2 linked regions of the Cricetulus griseus genome follow. The protein of the gene in region 1 purifies or fractionates together with the protein of each later gene. This does not show direct contact. Links are inferred from orthologs where the notes say so. Each region holds a gene or a part of one and is shown in the gene's direction. Other genes may lie near its edges.

Region 1 (4,350 bases):
TGATATTTCAATTCATGATTTATAAAAAGCAAAGTCAGCCTCAAGCTATAGAGATAAGGCAGTGGTGGCACACAACTTTAATTCCAGCAGCCAGAAGCTAGGATGTGGTGGTACACACCTTTAATCCTAGGACTCAAAATTAAAAGATAGACAGATCTCTCTGAGTTCAAGGCCACCCAGGAATACACAAGAGTGAATCAGTCTAAAAGAGAATTATAGCTTACACCTTTCTTTATTCCCAACATTAGGGAAGAATATGACAGAAACAAGGTCTCAAGGAGCATTCATTCTCCAGCCACACTGAAGAGAGGCAGCAATTTGAGACTTGGTACAGAGTTTATGAGTGGATTAGTCCTTTCAGCCACAGTCAGAGCTAGAGGTGAGAGATAGTGGCTGGCGGCTTTGCTTTTCTGTTACTCGGCTTGAAGTTTGAGCCCAAATATCAGTCTCTGGGTCGTTTATTTTTCGTGTTACATCTTTGGAAGGCCTACAAGGGCACAAATATTTTTACTGATAATATTATCTAGAAATGGAAAAAAATGTCTTTCACTAAAGAAGGAAACTCATTCTTCAGCAATATGTTCAAGGGCGTTTTTGCATTTCTTTAAAAAATTTAAAGTTTCAACGACCCTAAACTTAATGCCTAGATCATAGTATAGTCCTAGGGACTTATTTAGGGAACAGTTCAGAGATTCTACAAAGGGGTAAAGCTTTGTGTTCATTGTGTTTATCGATGTATATTTTAGAAATTCCCCACGTGGCTTAATTGAAAGCATTCTTTGAATACTGAAAAAGTTAAGTCAGACTTCAACTGGTAGACACCGCTTGAGAAAGAACCTGATACATAGACACAAACCAACAGTGAGGGCCAGCTTGCTAAAAACCACTTTAGACAACTTAACCAGCATCCTTGAGGGTGTCAGTATCCAGCTGAGAAGCAAAGCCCCAAGAGCCTCTTTCACAAAATATGTAAATAGAGGCGAAGGAAAAAAACCCAGAATCCCTCATCTCTAGACTCCTTGCTGATTCTAGCAGAGGGGGACAGCAGGACCCTGGCAATTATTATACTTGCAGAGACAAAGAAGGACCAGGCAACTAGTGCCCATCCTTTTAGCTGAGTGGGTTAGGAGACAGATGTTAGAATGGCTTGGGGTGGGGGTGGGGGCAAGAGAAGTGGTAATCTGTTTTGTTGGCTTTACGTGGGGCTTCCCCAGATCTACCCAGCGTCACGCCGGCCCAGCCCTGCGCACTGGGAGGACGCAGCGGGCAGCCGCATTGGCCTCTGCGTCATGGGGTGGTGGGGAGGAGAGGCGGCTCCCAGCCTGCAGACCTGGCTCGATCCTTGGCGCCGGGTCCCCGCCCGCAAGCACCTCCTCTCCCCCCGCAGCCTGTCGGGGGGCCACAGCACAGGCAAGCTGGGCACGTGGGAGCCTCTGTCACACCCTCACTCATACACACGCGCGCGAGCGCGCGCGCGCGCACACACACACACTCACTCACACACACACACACACACACACACACACACACACACACACACACACACACACAAACACACACACACACACACAGAGAGAGAGACCCACACGCACACAGACATATACATACACACAAACACACCAAAACACACGCACGCACGCACGCGCGCACACACAGGCTCCCCAGGAACCGCGCACCAGCATCCCGTGCCATTTCCCTGGCAGGCACAGGCGCTCACGAGTCTCTTGCTGCAGGACAGCGACTCCCGAAACCAAGCCTGCCCTTGGCAAGCTGTTTCTGCTACCCAGACAGCTCCCCTGTGGCCTCTGGCACCATCTCCTGGATCCGACCATTTCTCGACCTAGGAACGTGGAAACAGTAAGAGGTGCTGGCTAAAAAAGCATCAGAGGTAATGTCGCGCTCTGGGGCTGGGGCATCGCCAGGGGTAGGGTGGGGCTGTCTCTTAGCCACCCAGGAGTCAGGCGCCAGGAAGAGCAGCAGGATGCTTGGATGGAGCTCCAGAAAGACTCAGCATCGATCCTGGGATGGCAGGAGGAAGGGCAACAGGAAACGTGGAAGGGTAAAGCTGGTTTCTGAGGACATCCTCTGGCTCTGTGTCTTGCACCTGTGCAAACTGGGGCTCCGGTGGTGAGGGTCCAAGGTGGCACTTGTGCGGAGAAGCACGTGGGTCAAAACGTGCATCCACCCTTCCTAACCTGGGTGGAAACTGCCTAGTGCATCCGAGGAAACGGGCTTGTTTCCAAATCAAGTTGGGGTTTGAAGGGCAGGGTTTGACAAGGGGAGGAGGAAACTTGGTGTCAGGGCAGAGATGCACTCCCGAAGTAAATTGGAATCCAGTCCTCATAAGGGTGGGAGGTAAGGCGGGAGAGCAGCAAGCCTCCTTCCTGGGGGCTTGAGGATCATTTGCCACAGTAGCACAGTCTATCAAGGCAGTGTATTCGTGACCCGGATTCAATTCTTTCCCGCTGGAGGCATCCTGTGATGGGCTGTCCGAAAACCGGCTTTTAGGCACGTGGCTGCTGAAGAAAGCACATCTTCAGGCGCCTCTGCGCATCCTGGAATTGGAAAGTTACAGAGGATAGCGGAAAGGATGGTGGCACTGGGAACTTAAGGAACGGCTGGGGAAGGACTGGGCATCCTTAAGCCTTCTACGTAGTTCATCCACTTGGCTGGTCTGTGTGTGACAGCGCAGAAAAAATTGGATATATAGGAATGTTGTACACTGGAGTGAAAGCTGTACACTGTTAACTTGAGCGCCACAGTCTTAAGCGAAGGAATGAATATGAATCCCTTTAGGGATACTTGGTGGGGATGTGGTGGGGGTGGCAAGAGAGACCCCTCTTTCAAGGGCTCCAAGGGAGGGATGCTTTTTTTTCTTTTCTCCAGTGAGCTAGCGGCCTTGAAAGTGCTCTTTAACATAGCTAATCTGGCTTCTCTTCTCTCATCCTCCACCCTAGTGGAGAAAGGCTGGAGTAAGATTGGGCGGGGCCTAGAGGCTAGCGTGGTGACGTCTAAGTGTTTGGGTGCTTATGCAAATAAGACTGTAGCCGTTGCCTTGGGTCCATCCTGCCTGTCTCTTCAGATCTTAAAGGTATCCCCATTCCTAGGTCTGAATTCTTTTTGCATACCTGAGGCTGGCTGGGGGTGGGGGTGGGGGGAAGAAGGCTTTGCTTTGGGTGCTCCATTTAGGCTTCTTTTAGCCTTTTCTGTAAAAGGTATTTTATAACTGCCAGTGCTTGGTTGCTTTCTGGAAAGCCAGGATCAGAGCAGTTCCATTAAGCTTCAAACGCTGAAGGCCCCACTTCATAATTACGTCTTATTAAATACAGACCTAATTGCATCCTTCTCAACTTTCTTAACCTAGAGTTGTTTAGGCAGTTTATAAATATTTGGTGTAATGAGGTTTTTTTTTTTTTGTTCATAGACAATATGTGTATTTCTCTCACAGTAACTCAAATGATTTTTGTATTATCCTACCAAGTTTAAAAGTAAATTAACAACAACAAAAAAAGAAAAGTAAATTAACTGACCCTCCAAGTGAAACTTTGAGTGCATTCCTGTTGTGTTGTTGGGAGAGAAGAATTAACAAATTTTGAAAGGAAGTTAGTATCTCCGTGTTTATTACACACTACCTAGTTGGCTTAAGAATCATTGTAAAATTCCGATATCTATAACCCAAGTTGTGGCTTTTAATGGGGTTTAAAAGGTTTCTTATACACGTTTCTGGGAGACAGGTATTTTGCCATCTAGTTAGGGAGTTTTAAAATTAGGTGATCTAGCTTTCTGGAGATAGGCAGGAGGCCTTTTTATAAATTATTGGAACATCTAAAAATAAATCAAAATAGATATTACAACCTGAGCTTTATAGTTATAATCACACACTTACCCAGTCTTAGCATGTGCTTGTTAAAAGATGTTTCTGTCTTAAAAAGGTACAAAATAGGAGATACTTCAATGTTTATTTAGACTCTGGTGTTATATGCAGCCAGTTTAAAAACATTGTCTCCTTAGAATGGCAAAACTAAAAGAGTTCCTCCCCCCCCCCCCCGTGGTTATTACAATCTCTAGTTTTGGTTTTTTTCTTCATTTATCATCCAACTTTTTTTGAATATTATGTTAATTCTTTACCACTACATATGCATGACTGGATATAATAATATATTAATATGCAGACTTGACTTTGAAGTGATTTCTGAGCAGATGGCATTATTAAAAAAAAAAAAAAAAACTCCATAGGCATAGTGCAATGCATGGAAGATATCCAGTTTTCTATGGCTAGAATCTTTTGACTTAGTCTTGGTTTATTAACAACATTACTCTTTTGCTGGTATTTAGTAGTTCTTCATGAAC
Region 2 (4,149 bases), on another chromosome or scaffold:
CTTGGATCCTGCCCTGGAACTCACAGAGATCCACCTAATTCTGTCTCCTGAGTGCTGGAATTAAAGACATGTGTCAAGCCGGGCCTTGGTGGCACACACCTTTAATCCCAGCACTCGGGAGGCAGAGGCAGGCGGATCTCTGTGAGTTTGAGACCAGCCTGGTCTCCAGAGCGAGTGCCAGGATAGGCTCCAAAGCTACGAAGAGAAACCCTGTCTCGAAAAACCAAAATAATAATAACAATAATAATAATAATAAAGACATGTGCCACCACTGCCCTGCACAATTTTTTAAAATAATTCATTTATTTTATGTGCATTGGTGTTTTGCCCTCATGTATGTCTGTCTATGTGAAAGTGTCAGATGTTGGAGTTATAGACAGTTCTTATCTGTCATGTGGGTGCTGGGAATTGAACCCAGATCCTCTGGAAGAGCAGTCAGTGCCCTTAATCATTGAGTCATCTCTCCAGCCCACACAATTTTCTTTAAAATTATGTTTTATTTATCGTGTGTGTGTGTGTGTGTGTGTGTGTGTGTGTGTGTGTGTGTGTGTATCATGCCAGTGAACACCTATAGTCAGGTGATAAATTGGTTCAACGCCTACACCATAGGGGTCCAAAGACTGACAGTTCATGGTGTTTGGCAGCAGGCACCTTTGTTGATAGCTGTCTCACTGGCCCCAGAGGCTACATTTTGAGAGTGAGTTCCTGACACCTTTTCCTTCACAAGTTTCTAGTGGGGAGAGTGTGGGCAACTGGCAGGAGGTGCAGAGAGAAGAGTTTTCTTCTTCCTCCAGGACTCCTGGGGGTGGGGACAGCTTTCTCTGCAAAATTTGCTATTAACATGCTCCGTTCAGTGTGCTGGCTCTCCCCACTTTTTCCAACTCCAAAAACAATTCCTGACTGTCAACTGTGAAACGAGTTTGGTCCTACTAAGAAGAATTTAGAGCCGATTCAGTGATGGTCTGGACCCTGGGCAGTTTGCTCACAACTGTTCTCAGTGTCCCTTCTCAGGTTTTAATTAAAACTGGTTGAGCTGCAGTGGAATACACGTGCAGGATTATTTGTTCTTTGTTCTAGTAAGGGCTAGCACCATAGCGGCGGCGTGGGACGTGGATCCCGGGGAAACTCTTGCGGGTTGGGTGAAGGTTAGCATTTGCGCAGCATTTTCTGCAGTCTGTGCTCTGAGTGTGGGTGGATGCAAGGGAAGCTTAGGTTGGACTCTCCAGGGAGGGGAGTGACAAACAGCCCAGCCCCTCCACCCATCACTGCCCGCCCTTTTAAAAACGGGATCTGGTTATTTAGCCCTAGGCGGACTATTGGAACAGCCCAGACTCATCTCCTCTGATTCCTGGGTGCAAGTGTTGGAATTACAGTCCTGCGACACTGCCACTCCGGTCTTCTGGGTCTATTCTGTGCCAGGGAGGTGTTGGCAGGGTGGCTAAGGCGACTTGTGGAGAGAGAACGAGCGAGCTTTCTTCTTCCCTGTAAGATTCAACCCTGCGGCTGGCCAGGGCAGGAAAGGAGGTGTGTGAGGGCTCACTTTTGCACTGCAGTCTCCTCCTCCCGAAAGCCTTTCCCAGGCGGCCGTTTTGTACGCTTATAAAATGATTTTCCGTAGAGTCCGGGAGACATCAGGGGCCCATTCTGTGGGTGAAGATGGAAAGTCTGCTCCCGAAAAGGACCTTTGCTGGGAGTGCAGGGCACGGGGGCGGGAGGAGGGAGGCGGGGCAGAGGGCGGTGGCTCACCCAGGCAGCGGTGCCCCCGGGACTCAGTCGTGCCAGGGAGTTCCCAGTTGGGTGATGAGGGGGGTGGGACAAGGGCAGAGTGCAGTAAAAGAGCTCCCCGGCACCCGAAAGCAAGCCACCAGCTACCCGCATAGCCCGTAGCCCACGCAGAAGGTGCAGGGAACCTGCAGGGATCCTCACTGCCCGAGGGCCTGGGTGAGTCACCGCGGGGTTGTCGCAATCGCTACCCGGAGGAAATCAGGCCCGGGGTGGGGCGCGTTCCTGGTTGCCTTCGTGAGCTCTGATCTCGCCAGGGTGTCCCCTAGATCGCCAGCTGGGTCTTCTCGTCTGCTCCCTCTGCGGTGGTCACAACTTGGCCTGGGCCTCTAGTGGAGAGTTAGCCTTCGGGGACAACAGGGACCCAAGGGGAAGAGGGAAGGAGATTGCTGTGGTTCTGAGAGTTCTCCCTCCCCGCAGAGGTGAAGGGAGTGAGGCAGGCGGCGCTGAGTCCCTGGAGCCCGGCTCCGGGTCGGACGCTGTGTTTTCGGAGCTGTGCGGGACTGCCTGGGACTTGGATATCCCTCTACGGCCTTGGGATCTCCCGGGGACCTCTCCCGGAGGGCGTGCCGAGACATGGAGGGCGCAGACCTGGCGGTGAAGGTCCTATCCACCTGGCTGACGCTGGTGGTCGGTCTTATCGTGCTGCCCTCGGCCTTCGGATTGTCTCTAGGCATCTCGGAGTTCTACATGAAGATCCTGGTGAAAACGTTGGAGGTGAGTGCGGCGGAAGGATGTGAGCCCGGGCTGCTCTGAGAACTTAGGGAGCTGGGTGGCGCCTGAACATAGAACTGCCAGAGTCTTTTGAGCAAAGGGTCTGCTGTAGCGAGAAAGACAGTGGCTCTATTTGCCGGGAGAGTCGCACTGATCCCAGCCAAGAACAGCAGTCCACCTCACAGAAACCCTTCCACCTGGGTTCTGTCATCACTACTATTTTTTACTTACTAGATGAACTCTAGGCCGTTTGCTGCATCAGCGGATTTATTACCCATGCCTTGCAAGCTGTCACTTCCCTCTGGAGTTTTTACAGCCCCAGGTTTCAGAGGTCCTTTTGTGTCTACAGAGGCATCACGTTCCACTTCATGCCCAAGATAAGAAACCAATGGCCCGGTGGCAGAAAAAGAATCTGATTTTATTTTAGTGGAGTCTTGGGGGATTTATCATCATCATCATCATCATCATCATCATCATCATCATCTAACTTGGGACACTGGAATGCAAAGGTTCTTCTTTGGCCTCAGCTTGGTCTTGGGTTTGTTTCCAAATTCCCCAGATAGGGTGTTAGGACAGGCTTCAGTTGAAGTTTATAAGGGTCTTTAGTAAAATTCAGGCCTCTCCTTGTAGGGAGGCAAGTGCTGTGGGATGCTGAGTTGAAAGGTTTGTTTGAATTAAGTGTGACAAACAGCAGTGGTCTTAATGAAGAGAGGCCCTGTAGGCTGTACAGATTTGTCTAGATTTGGTACCTAACTCTCATCCCAGTTTCCCAGTATCTGATCTAGCAAGGTCATCTGACTCCTTCATTGTACTCATCTACCAAATAGAAGTATCAACACCTATTTGCATATCATTTTCATCTGTTGTCTGTTTGGTTTGGTTTTAAGACAGGCTGTCACTCTTGGAGCCCTAGCTGGCTTTGAAATTCTCCACTTACCTTAGGCTCCCAAGTTCTGGCTTTACAGACAGGGGACATCACACTTAGCTCTCCACATAGTTTTTTTGTTTGTTTGTTTTTGGTTTTGGTTTTTCGAGACAGGGTTTCTCTGTGTAGCTTTGGAAGCCGTCCTGGCACTTGCTCTGGAGACCAGGCTGGCCTCGAACTCACAGAGATCTGCCTGCCTCTGCCTCCCGAGTGCTGGGATTAAAAGCATGCGCCACCAACGCCCGCCTCCACATAGTTGTTTTTAAGAGTAAAAATACATAGGACAGGGAGCCCTCAGCAAGGTGGAGCCCTCTGCAAGGTGCCCGTGTGTGTTAGGTGCTCTGTGTGTTTGCTATGATTAAATGAATAGTATGGTTGCTTAGAGTCCCTGTCTTTGTTTCCCCAGCTTCTCTATTACCACCTACAGCTGTGCGTTATTTTTGGCTTGTGCTTTTTGTTCTCCCAAAGGACTTGGCGCTGTCCCTTCTTCCTTCATAGTAAAGGAGTGGCTCCTAGATATATATCTTTACCCCACAGCTGCCTGCTAACTAAGGTTTTCCTCTGGATTCTTGTTGGACTTTTCTTTGTGGCTATTTCTTTAATGAATCTTTGAAGCTATATTAGATTCTTTATCGACAGTCTGTCCCATTCTTCGACCCCCCCCCAAGATGGCATCTCACTATGTAGCTCAGACTGGCCTTGAACTCTGCAACCTGCTGCCTCAGGCC

What was found. The genes of interacting proteins can lie anywhere in the genome.
Region 2: the proteins of Slc6a15 (region 1) and Gpat3 purify together in Homo sapiens (co-immunoprecipitation; 3 studies listed by BioGRID and IntAct, counting the BioPlex papers as one, with this or other methods). This does not show direct contact. The link is inferred for Cricetulus griseus from reciprocal best matches to the Homo sapiens genes SLC6A15 and GPAT3.

What each region holds. Positions count from the first base shown.
Region 1 is NW_023276806.1:168,535,976-168,540,325, forward strand, and holds the start of Slc6a15 (sodium-dependent neutral amino acid transporter B(0)AT2), read left to right. Parts: upstream 1-1,532; 5' UTR 1,533-1,888; intron 1,889-2,037; exon of another isoform or gene 2,038-2,059; intron 2,060-3,031; exon of another isoform or gene 3,032-3,091; intron 3,092-4,350.
Region 2 is NW_023276807.1:162,900,217-162,904,365, forward strand, and holds the start of Gpat3 (glycerol-3-phosphate acyltransferase 3), read left to right. Parts: upstream 1-1,319; 5' UTR 1,320-1,484; exon of another isoform or gene 1,485-1,524; intron 1,525-1,769; exon of another isoform or gene 1,770-1,941; intron 1,942-1,982; exon of another isoform or gene 1,983-2,202; 5' UTR 2,203-2,358; coding exon 2,359-2,499; intron 2,500-2,982; exon of another isoform or gene 2,983-3,005; intron 3,006-4,149. UniProt on the Homo sapiens protein: Converts glycerol-3-phosphate to 1-acyl-sn-glycerol-3-phosphate (lysophosphatidic acid or LPA) by incorporating an acyl moiety at the sn-1 position of the glycerol backbone.